3 linked regions of the Danio rerio genome follow. The protein of the gene in region 2 purifies or fractionates together with the protein of the main gene of each other region. This does not show direct contact. Links are inferred from orthologs where the notes say so. Each region holds a gene or a part of one and is shown on either strand. Other genes may lie near its edges.

Region 1 (3,655 bases), on a different chromosome or scaffold from region 2:
TATTTGAAAACAACATCAATTGGGACTAACAAAACCCAGAAACAACTATCTAACTAATGCTGTGATGACTTAATATTTGTGCAATAATTCCAAAATGAATGTTGTATAATTATAAAATATTAATGATGACGATGATGACAATAATACTAATAATGAATTATATTTCTCATCATCATGCTGCCTTGAATGTGCTTTAATGTAAGTTATGCTATATAAAGTCCTGCTGTTACTTTATGAAAAATAAATTGATGGTTTGCATCAAACACAAATGAAGCATTGTAGTAAGAAATATTTGTTTTGTACTATTGTTTTTATATGCATGTCAATTTAATAAATAATAGTTCTGCTACAAAACAAACAAAATAATATAATAAATCATTCAATCCAATACTGAAAGCTGCAAAGCAGTCATCAGCAATTAAATAGAAAAATAATATACACCTCAAGAAAGAACAGACAAAAGATAGCAAGAAAAGTCTCACTTTTAAAAGTTTTGGTTTCGGTTTGTGTCGTTTTAATGCTCAGCTTCGTTACGCGCTGAATTACATTTTTCTGTGTTTGCGGAGAAGCATGCGAGTCAGCCGGCCCAATATGAGGAGGGCAGAGCAGGATTCTCCCGATGAACACCGGCGCTATACTGTTTTTTGTTATAACCCGCATCAGTTTAAACTCAGTAAAGGCAAGCTTCTTTGGAGATGGTGTTTTAGCGGACATTTGCGCTATTGCAGCCTGATCTCACGAGGAAACGTATGAAAAAGTTACGAATTGCCGTGAGATTGTGTTGGCTGACCACGCAGTGCATGCAACGCATCCAGATTCAGTGTACTTTTCACTGTTCAGCCGTTTGCATTCCCCGCGATCACAAAAGCTCCCTCCCTGTCATCTGACAGCGGAAAGTCTTGACTGATTGACAGCTAATATGAACCAATATAGCGGCAGGGAAGAGCGATTCAGCACGTTTTTAGAAAACAAAACAAAACAGGTCGCACTACAACCATTATATGCAGTCGCACGAATGCTCCCAATATATATTATGAGGTCGCATAGCTTAAATTTCGGGCGCATATGCGACCAAAATGGTCGCAATTTCGAGCCCTGCAGTATGCTAACAGGGAAACAAAAATAGCCCTACTTAGTCTTTCCTCCAGATCTCCTGCACCCTGTTTCTCAACCACGTTCCTGAAGGACCACCAGCTTTGCACATTTTCTATGTCACATTAACCAAACATCTGATTTAGATCCTCAGCTCATTAGCAAAGACGGAAAGACCGGTAATGGGTGTGATAGACAAAGGTGATATTCAAAACATGCAGTAGTAGTGGGTCCTCCAGGAACGTGTTTGAGAAAGACTGCTGTAAACTATTGCACTTACTCAGTTTTACCATCCTGGCACAGTTTTTTTTTTTTTTTTATCTCTGGTGGAATAGAAATGTTATGTATTTCAGTGCAACCATATAAATATAATTGATGCACAGTTTTAACTCGCATAAAACAAAACCAAACCTATGGCAAATTAAACGGTGCCCAATTCCACGAGATACCTGAGGACTTGGCAACCCTGAGCTTGAGTAATTGAGGCACAGACTGTAAAGGCTCCACCCTGTTATGAAAATGAGGCATGAGTAGCAGCTCATTTGCATTTAAAGAGACGCACAAAAAAATGGCTGATATTTTGAATAATTCACGATGTATTTTTGAGCTGAAATTTCACATAAGACACCTAAGGCTTGTAAGAAAGGTATAATATGACTCCTTTAAATGATGTTTTCAAAAGTGAGCAGATTATTTAAAGCTAAACCATTCAAACCTGATTTGTATATGCTTTGTTCCTTTGCAGATGCATACTGCTCCATTAGTGGCGGTCTCCACGCACAGGTGCTTCTTTTCCACTGCCAGTGTCTGTCTCTGTGTGGAGATGTTCAGCTCATGTTGGCCCAGAATGCCTCAAACAGAGCTGCGTATCTGGAGGAGTACAGCTATCAGACCAAAGATGACCAGGAGATCCTCCACTGCCTGCACCGCGAGAGCTCCTGCCAAGGTCTGTATGCAGAATTCCCACGCTCTTTCTGCTATGGAGAGATCATACGATGGTGTGATGGTCAGAGATGATGCATTATTCAATCAGTAGTTATTTAAAACGAATGTATCCCAGTTGCTACAAAATATTAAGCAGCTGTTTCAACATGGGTAATAATCAGAAATGTTTCCCAAGCACTAAATCAGCATATTAGATTCAGCCTTTACAAAAATAACTAGGGATGCGCTGAAATTAAAATTGACCAGAAACTGAAATATACTAAAAGTAAAATTTTAACAGGTAGTACTTATATTATGCATCCCAGGATCAGTTATCATTATTATTATTTTTTTTTGGTTTATTCAAACATAACCATAAATGACAGACTACTATGGTGTAATTGCACCGTAGCTTAACATGAACAGTTTGATACCACAGCCTATCTAAACAAGCTGCAATCAAACAATCAAGTTAAACTGGGTGCTTAGTTGAGACTAATGCAACAGGGATGTCATGGAAAGGACATTTTCACACAGTATATGTGCTCCGTTTTTAGATGTCTCTATTTCCCCCCTATCCACACTGAGATGGAGCAGCAGTGTTTTAGAATGAAAACGGCCTCTCCAGTGTTTCCAAATCGCTCCATTTTCGGTGCTCAAAAACTCTGGTGTAGTGTGGATGGATGGCGTAACCGTAGCAAAACTTATAAATTGACAGCACAGCTGGCATGTACCCCTTCCGCTAACCCTTTGCCCTTGAAACAGAGTGTGAAGGGGAAGGTCTTCAAATTTATTCAAGAATTTAATTACATTTTAAATTGACTGACGTCTGTAAATTACTTTGAAGTTATTATTTAGCAATAATACTTGAGAGTTGTGCCAGTATGTTAACAGGGAAACAAAAATAGCCATACCATAAATGACAGACTACTAATGTGTAATTGCACCGTAGCCTAGCATAAACAGTTTTTTTATTTTTACTTTGATACTACAGCCTATCTATATAAGCTGCAATCAAACAATCAAGTTAAACTGGGTGCTTACTTGAGACTAATGCAACAGGGATGTCATGGTAAGGACATTTTCACACAGTCTATGTGCTTGCATATTCGAAAGTCAAAGCAATCAAGAGTTTGTTGAATGGATAGCACTTTAATAACCGTTACAGCAAGAGTGAGGTAAGTGCTGGGGAGGGGAAAGGTGGAATAAACAGTTTCATAAAATTATGAAATTTAAAGTCTTTTTCAAATATGTCCTTGGTGCTGTATAATGGAGAGAAGATATTTGCCACACATTTTTAAATACGATAGTTCTTTTATCATAATATTTTTCTTGTTATTTTGAAAAAATACTAGTATTGTTTGTGTGCAATTTTAAAGTGCAATTTTTGAGGCTTAAAAGTCTAGTGAAGTGCTTTAAAATGTGCATATTTTATTCAATGTTTGACGTAATCTCAACTGAAAAATGAAAACAGGGTGGGACAGAGTAGCTCCTCTCCTTTAAAAACAGCCAATAGCATTTCGTTGGTGTTTTGTAGTTATTTGTTGAGATCAATTGACAAGTGTCTTGAAGGGGGCAGATCTTCATCAAGGATCTACCGCTGGATCCAATCTCACTATATTTGTTAAACGTGACATTT
Region 2 (4,377 bases):
GAATACTAGCAGCTTCTATAGAGGTGATGTCCACAGAGGATGCCATTCGCTGGCCTGGATTGATAGCTCCCTATCAAGTGTGTGTCCTGCCACCTAAAAAGGGAAGTAAAGCACATGAAGCCACACTGAAGGCTGAGGAACTGGCTCAAAGCTTGGGAAATAGTCTTCCAAATTTGAAAGGTGAGGTGGTACTGGATGACAGGACTCAAATGACCATTGGGAAACGACTGAAGGATGCTAAAATTCTGGGGTATCCATTTGTGGTGGTGGTGGGCCAGACGGCTCTAGATGATCTGGCCAGCTTTGAGGTGGTTTGTCAGCAAAGTGGAGAGACTCTCTTTTTGAGTAAAGATGGGCTTGTTGATCTTTTAAGTACGGTTGAAACTATCTAATATATGTGTACATTTATCAGGCTAGGTGATGGTGAAGAGAAAAAGAGTGTGATGTATAAATATTATAAGTGTTATAACAAGAAAATGTTGATTATTAAAGTGGTCTGTTTGTAACAATTTTGTAATGTGTTCTTGCTTCTGTAGAGCAATTAAGATTCATAGTGGAATTTATTGTTATTTAAAGCACTGGTAAGTGATAAAAGAAAAAAGGCCATGAAGACTATGAACAATGGCAATGATTGCCCAAGATTGTCAGTGCAAACTTGCTTTAAAAAAAACCTGCCCGAAAACCTGATAGATGATGTAATTTGCTCATTAGCATAATCATAACTTTGTCTAATATTTGTCATATATTATTGTTTCTAAAGGAAAATTAAAGCTTTTTACCTGCAGGGAGGACATTGCTAGATATTATATTTTTAATAAGGAACTAAAGGTTATCTAAAAAAGCTTAAAAAAATTATAATGATAATAAAAAATAAAATAAAAAAACATGATTCAAAAAATGCGACTGAAATGGTAAGATTCACCAAAAATATTTATGCCTATTTTTTATTTTTTATTTTTTATTTATTTCTGTAGGAAACATGCAACATTTAATCTTCATTCATTCATTTTCATTTTGGTTTAGTCCCTTTATTCATCAGGAGTTGCCACATCGGAGTGAACCAACTTATAATCAGTGTGAGTTTAATATAATCTGCATAAAACTTGGTGTGTTCTCTTTTACAGGTGTGCTTCTTATTAATATAATTTAAAAAAATAATAATTAGTTGGCTCTGATTTTGATAGCCAGAAAATAGGTGAATACATGTTTATTTAAATTAATATTTGATGCGGTAAAACCACATCAGTTTCTATTATTCAGTTACTATATCAGGGTTTCTATAATTTAAATATTTAATTGTCAGTTCCCACAAATTTTCAAAAAGTTTAATTTTTTAAACTTCTTTTCTGACAGACATTCTTTTTTCTTTAATCATTTATTACTGTTTAAATTATTAAAGCTTAACTATCAGCAATTAATTAGGGACACTCAAAATCAAGAAAAATGCTAATTTATTTATTAATGCTTATTTATTTCAATTTTGTTACTGTATTGCTTTTCAGTTTTTGACTCCATACCAGCAGGTGGCGGTAACGCGTTATTGACGTGTGGAGAGCAGCAGAGAAACAGATGTTTGCTGAGAGCATGTGGATCTTTGCTACGGTTTGTACAGTTTTATCCTATTTTACGTTTAATGTTTAGTTCCTCTACAATTGCGATCTGAACGCGGTGACGTAGTGAGATACGTCAAGAACTACCTGGGATACACTTCAGAATAAATTTAAGGAGATAACATGGCTGCACCAACGCAAGGGGAAGACAGCGACGATGGCATGGACGAATTTATGGAGAAGTTTAAAACACAGAAATACCATAATGCGTTCAACGAAAGCAACTGGGAGGAGGTAAGACTTGCTGATTAGTTATAACAACACACTGACATTATCGTGTCATAATCGGTGAATATATTTTGACGTTAACGTGGTTAAAGCAGTAACATTGTATTTTATTATCAAATAGTCATGTATCCGATGTGTAAATAACCTTCTTAAATATTGCAGGAGTTTGAAAAAGTTCCCATGTTCATGAAGACAGCGCCAGAAAACATTGACCCAGAGAAACACCCTGATCTCGCCTGTATCCAGCATATTATCCACGATGATGACAGAACTCCTGAAGGTAACTGGAGCTTCTTCTGTTTTCCAATATTAATGAGTTCTTTATGGAAGAAATTACATGTCATGGTAGTTGACAAATAGGGATTTTTTTTTTTAATTAAAACCCTATTTTTGAAGATTAAATAGTTATGTTGTCTGTTTAAGAAAACTGTGGTCACAAACTCTTATCAGTTCTTTTAGTTTTTTTTTTTTTTCTTTACTGTTCTGTAAATAATTTCTGTAGGGGGACATAGCATAGTAAAGAAAAATAGCTCTTAATAATAATATACAAATAGTGTGAGAGTGATTTAACTTCACTGTTGGATACTTCTCTTCATATTGTGCACAGGACAACAAAATTAATTTTATAGTCATTCCAAAAATTCTGAGGCAAAAACTTTATGGGCTTTACTGGTGGCTTCACACATGACATTGAATAGGGTGATTCAACTAATTAAAGTTTTCTGTGTATTTACCTGATTTAAAATTCAGGTACAAATACAGCATTCAGTGTCACACTAGAGGATGTGAATTTCAGTAACAGAATGTATGTTTTTAGAATTATATGGAAGAAAAAAAATATTGTCATTTACAAAAATAACCACTTGAAAAATATAAATATAATATATATTATTTTATTTTATACAATATAATTGAACCTTTTCATTTATTCTAGAGAAAGCCAGAAGTCTCAAGGATGAGGGGAATGAATACTTCAAGGAGAAGAAGTACAAGAAAGCTGTTGTTTCCTACACAGAAGGATTGAAAACGAGCTGTGTGAATCCTGAACTCAATGCCGTTTTGTACACCAACCGTGCAGCTGCACATTTCCATTTAGGTAAAGTCAGTTTTCCCCTCACACATTTTGTATTATGTAGAATAATTTAGTTTTTCCTTCTGGTTTAATAACCTGATTCCTTTAGGAAATATGCGTTCGGCTTTAAATGATGCCACAGCTGCAAAAAAATTGAAGCCAGACCACAATAAAGCCATTATAAGAGGTGAGTTGTGTATATTTGTTTGTTTCAAGAAGAAAATAGCAAGTAGTTGTTTCTGATATTACATTATTTTGTGTAAAGAAAAAATGTGAATGTGCGAAGAGTCACTAAATCCAGCAGATAAGGTCTCTAGTAGTTTTCATCGTAAGTGGTTACCAAATTTCAAATGAGTGTGATCAGTAAATATACTCCACATGAAAAACATCTCAGGTTAAATGTTGTAAGATGAGTTTTAGTTTACTTTTTGTGAGAGAGAGTTGTACCATTTTGCTCACATGCAAAGGTAGTTCCTTGTGTTTTTTCCTTGCCTTTTTATTCACCTTATTCTCCACCTACTAGCCGGCGCAGCCATTTGAATCTTTTTTTGCTCAAGACTTCCAGTCTCATTCACTTCCATTCATTTTTAGACATTAAAAACAGCTCGTTTGGCTGCTTGATGTTGCAAACTGATTTTTTCTTAATATATTAATCTATTTTATCTGTATATTAGTCTTGCATATACTTGTTTGTTGAGCAAGTAGTTTGACAATTTTTTGCCGTTTTTTTTTATTAATTTCTCCTATTTGCATCTCAATCGGACGTTCTAAAACAATCACAAAAACTAGCACACTTCCACCACTTGCTTTTATAGTTTTGAGTGCATTCTATTATATAGAATCTTGTTGTTTATCATGTATTATTTCAAAAATGATTATCAATGCATTATTTTGTGTAAAAAAATAAATAATGCACACAAAGTGTATAATGTTTATCTATCATTTTGACATGTTTTTGTATGTAGGAGCACAGTGCTTGCTGGAGCTGCGTAATTACGCTGGAGCGTTACAGTGGTGTGATGAAGGTCTAAAGTTGTTTCCCACTGACAAGAAACTACAGGAGCTGAGAGCCACAGCTGATAAACAGAAGGTAGAAATTTAAAGGGATAGTTCAAAATGAAAACTGTCTTTTACTCAGTCATTAGAGTTTCTTTATGTTGTTGAACACAAAATATGTTTAAAGGGATAGTATTTCTTTTAAAGGGATAGTTTATAAAAAGAATCATTTCAGTTTGATCAAATTTACTCACTCGCAGGGATGTGATGACATTTTTTAAAAAAAGGGTTACGATTTGTCGTGGCCGAGTGTTAAACATCCATGCTTTATTCATTATTTTGTTGCCTTGTAATATAATTTAATATACATTACTTCATTGTCTGATTATGTAATAAAACAGGTGAATAACTTGTTTAATCCAGATATTTTAAACAAACTTTTTGAAAATTAAAATGAGGGAAAAAAGGACT
Region 3 (3,655 bases), on a different chromosome or scaffold from region 2:
AATATGTGTTTTGTTTCTTAATATAATTATACCATGCGTTTGACCAATTACTACATCAAAAGCAGGATATTGTCATGGTATAGGACCATAAAGCAAACAAAATGCCATGGTGTTAAAACCATGACTTTTAGTTGTACATGCCCAAAAACATGGTATTTTAAGAAGTGTAATAAAAATTATGATATTACAATAATAAATATCAAAAAGCATAGTATTATCATGGTATAGGTCCATAAAGAAAACAAAAAATCATGGTGTCCCTACTGAAAAAAACAGCTTATACAGCCTGAGCTGGTTGGCTGGTTTTAGCTGGTTGACCAGCCTGGTTTTAGAGGGATTTTGGTCACTTCCTGGTTGGTTTCCAGCCATTTCTAGGTCTTAGATGGTCAAGCTGGGTTTAGCTGGTAATTTTCCAGCCTGGCCATCTAAGACCTAGAAATGGCTGGTTTAAGCTGGAAATAGCTGGTTTTGGCTGGGCTCCCTGCCTGGCTAGACTGGTCAAGCTGGTTTTAGCTGGTCAACTCCCAGCCTGACCAGCTAAGACCAGGCTGGAAATGGCTGGAAACCAGCCTGGAAGTGGCCAAAACCCCTCTAAAACCAGCCTGGTCGACCAGCTTAAACCAGCCAACCAGCCTAGGCTGGTTTGGGCTGTTTTTTCAGTAGGGGTGGGTCAAAAACATGACTTTTATGTAGTACATACCCAAAAAGATGGTATTATAATCATGGGATGAATTTATTACAGATTATTTACTTTTTTTTTTTTTACAGTCTACGAGTGTATCTAAGCCGGTGAAAGTTGATAGTCTCGTGTGTGTGTGTGCAGGTGTGTGATTCAGAGACTCCTGCCGTTCACACAGTATGAGGAGTCCATCACCAGACGAGGAGGGGTGGTGGGAACACTCAGAAACTGCTGTTTTGACTATGGTACATGTGTTCATTCACCAAACTTTATAATCTCTAGTGCCCAAAACGATATATTGTGCAGCAAAAATTCTAATCAAATATGATGTATTATCTTTACAGTCCATCATGAGTGGCTGCTCAGCGATGCTGTCGATATTTTACCGTTCCTTTTATTGCCATTGGCTGGACCAGAGGAGCTCTCAGAGGAGGAGAATGAAGGTGACGCTTTAAAAAAAATATATTATTATTATTTTTAATAGTGTTTTTGATGAAACGATGTACATTACAGTGCAGGTATTCAGAAGCAAGGGTAATTTAGTTTTGTTCCTTTTCCTTTTTTTTTAACCAGAAACTTAAGACAGAAACAAATGGACATAATCATTTATTCATTCATTCATTTTCCTTCATCCTAGTCTTTTATTTATCAGGGGTCACCACAGCGTAATGAACCGCCAACTATTCCGGCATATGTTTTACACAGCGAATGACCTTCCAGCTGCAACCCAGTACTGGGAAACACCCATTCACACACTCATACACTATGGCCAATTTAGTTCATCAATCCCCCTATAGCAGGGGTTCCCAAACTTTTCAGCCCGCGACCCCCAAAATAACAATATCAGTGATTCGCGACCCCCATTTTTCAAGGTGGTTACACTGTAAATATATAAACCTTGTAGACACAACTATAGGCATGTATAAACATGAGCACATTGACAACACATAAATGCAACAGTCTATTAACCATATATATTTTTTATATTCATTTATTAATTTATAATATAAAACGTAAAGGCTGATGACTGATTTTTATTTGTTTATAATAGATAATAATAATAATATAATAATAATTTTGTTTTTGTTTATTTGTATGTTGTTGTGTATTTAACACTACTATTATCCTCTGTGGGTTATGAGTAAAATATGGTCATCCAAAACTCAAATAAGTTTTATTAAACTATTTGGAAATCACCAAGCGACCCCTTGTCATTGTTACGCGACCCCCACTTTGAGAACCACTGCCCTATATTGCATGTGTTTGGACTGTGGGGGAAACCGGAGCACTCAGAGGAAACCCACAACAACACGGGGAGAACATGCAAACTCCACACTGAAATGCCAACCGGCCCAGCTGGGACTCGAACCAGCGACCGTCTTGCTGTGAGGCGACAGTGCTAACCACTGAGTCTTCTGCTTCACTCTGGTTTATCCAGTAGATGCCGCTGTTTGCTCATTTAGTTGTGCTTCAGCTTGAAGCTTTATTGTATTTCCACAGCATGTGAAGGGAAAATGGACCGAGCAGAGTGGAAATTCTGCCATTACAGCAGGAAGTTGTGAATTTGCGAAGCCAGAGATTTTTGTTAAAAGCGTGCGGTTTCATAAAAGCTGTTTGAGAAGTTTATATATAACATATTTTCCTCTTATTGCACCAGGCTGCTCTGACCAAAGCATTTGAAAAACACATTGTGAAAAGAGAGAGGAACCGTCCTAGTTAATAAGTGACCTTATGAGACCTTTATGAAGTGCTTGCGAAGCCTGTATCGCTGTAGCCTCAGACTAATATTATTACAGCATGTTTGGACTAGCGTGCGCAGCATAATTGGCAAATGGTCCTTGTTTTTATTGCTCGTTCTGAGATTTGAACAATCCCTTAAAGGAACAGTCCACCTTTATTTTAAAATAAATTCTCATTTTATAAGTCTCAGGGGGGAATGATGGCGCAGTGGTTAGCACTGTCGCCTCACAGCAAGAAGGTCGCTGGTTCGAGTCCCAGCTGGGCTAGTTGGCATTTCAGTGTGGAGTTTGCATGTTCTCCCCTTGTTGGTGAACGTTTCCTCTGGGTGCTCCAGTTTCCCCCACAGTCCAAACACATGCGCTATAGGGGAATTGAATGTATGGTGTAGTGTATGGGTGTTTCCCAGTACTGTGTTGCAGCTGGAAGGGCATCTGCTGTGTAAAACATATGCTGGATTAGTTGGCGGTTCATTCCACTGTGGCGTCCCCTGATAAATAAGGGACTAAGCAGAGGAAAATGAATGAATTTATAAGTATCCTAGAGTTAAATCGTTTTTAAATCCATTCAGCAGATTTCTTGTTCTAGCAGGGTCACTTTTAGCTTAGCTTAGCATAATGAGTTGATTTGGATATGACCATTAGCATTTCATTCAAAAATGTCCAAAAAAATAGTTGATAATTTTCCTATTTAAAGCTTTGAAATGTGATTTATTTTGTATTCAATGTTTGACTTAATCTCAACCGAAACATGAAGAGTAGGCGGGACATATAGTAGCTCCTCCCCCCTTAAAAAAACAACAACAGCCAATAGCGTTTTGTTTTATAACAGCTCTGCCAGTGAGAGTGGTTGAGCTCAAGCATGTCAAATGAAAAGCAAATGAGAAGTGTCTTAAAGGGGGCGGGGCATGACAGATACTAGAGAGCATTCGATTGGTCAGAAGATTTGAGGAGAAACTAAAGCATGGGGTGATGTCTAAAAAATCATTGATCCAGCTATGTTTATATCTTCTAAATGCTAATTTTGTCACAGCTTTTATAGCAAACTAGCTAATAGCTATCCTTAACACTAACACATTGATAATAACAAAAATTTTAATTCACAGGACATAGGATTATGACAAAGTTTTGCACAGACAAACATTGCTTGGTTGTAACTCTGCAATTCAATCTTACACATTGATGTATTTTACCCTTTTTAAATTTCGGCTGTATTTTACAGGTTTGCCGGTGGACTTGC

Evidence for each region.
Region 1: the proteins of ttc4 (region 2) and edrf1 purify together in Homo sapiens (affinity purification with mass spectrometry; 3 studies listed by BioGRID and IntAct, counting the BioPlex papers as one, with this or other methods). This does not show direct contact. The link is inferred for Danio rerio from reciprocal best matches to the Homo sapiens genes TTC4 and EDRF1.
Region 3: the proteins of ttc4 (region 2) and hgh1 purify together in Homo sapiens (co-immunoprecipitation; 4 studies listed by BioGRID and IntAct, counting the BioPlex papers as one, with this or other methods). This does not show direct contact. The link is inferred for Danio rerio from reciprocal best matches to the Homo sapiens genes TTC4 and HGH1.

The regions. Positions count from the first base shown.
Region 1 is NC_133192.1:9,925,795-9,929,449, forward strand, and holds part of edrf1 (erythroid differentiation-related factor 1), read left to right. Parts: intron 1-1,837; coding exon 1,838-2,038; intron 2,039-3,655. UniProt on the Homo sapiens protein: Transcription factor involved in erythroid differentiation. Involved in transcriptional activation of the globin gene.
Region 2 is NC_133181.1:33,194,967-33,199,343, reverse strand, and holds the start of ttc4 (tetratricopeptide repeat protein 4), read left to right. Parts: upstream 1-1,539; 5' UTR 1,540-1,733; coding exon 1,734-1,844; intron 1,845-2,000; coding exon 2,001-2,118; intron 2,119-2,772; coding exon 2,773-2,934; intron 2,935-3,019; coding exon 3,020-3,097; intron 3,098-3,875; coding exon 3,876-4,000; intron 4,001-4,377. Other genes in the region: pars2 (probable proline--tRNA ligase, mitochondrial), read left to right, coding at 1-392.
Region 3 is NC_133194.1:3,293,605-3,297,259, forward strand, and holds part of hgh1 (protein HGH1 homolog), read left to right. Parts: intron 1-823; coding exon 824-924; intron 925-1,023; coding exon 1,024-1,122; intron 1,123-3,637; coding exon 3,638-3,655.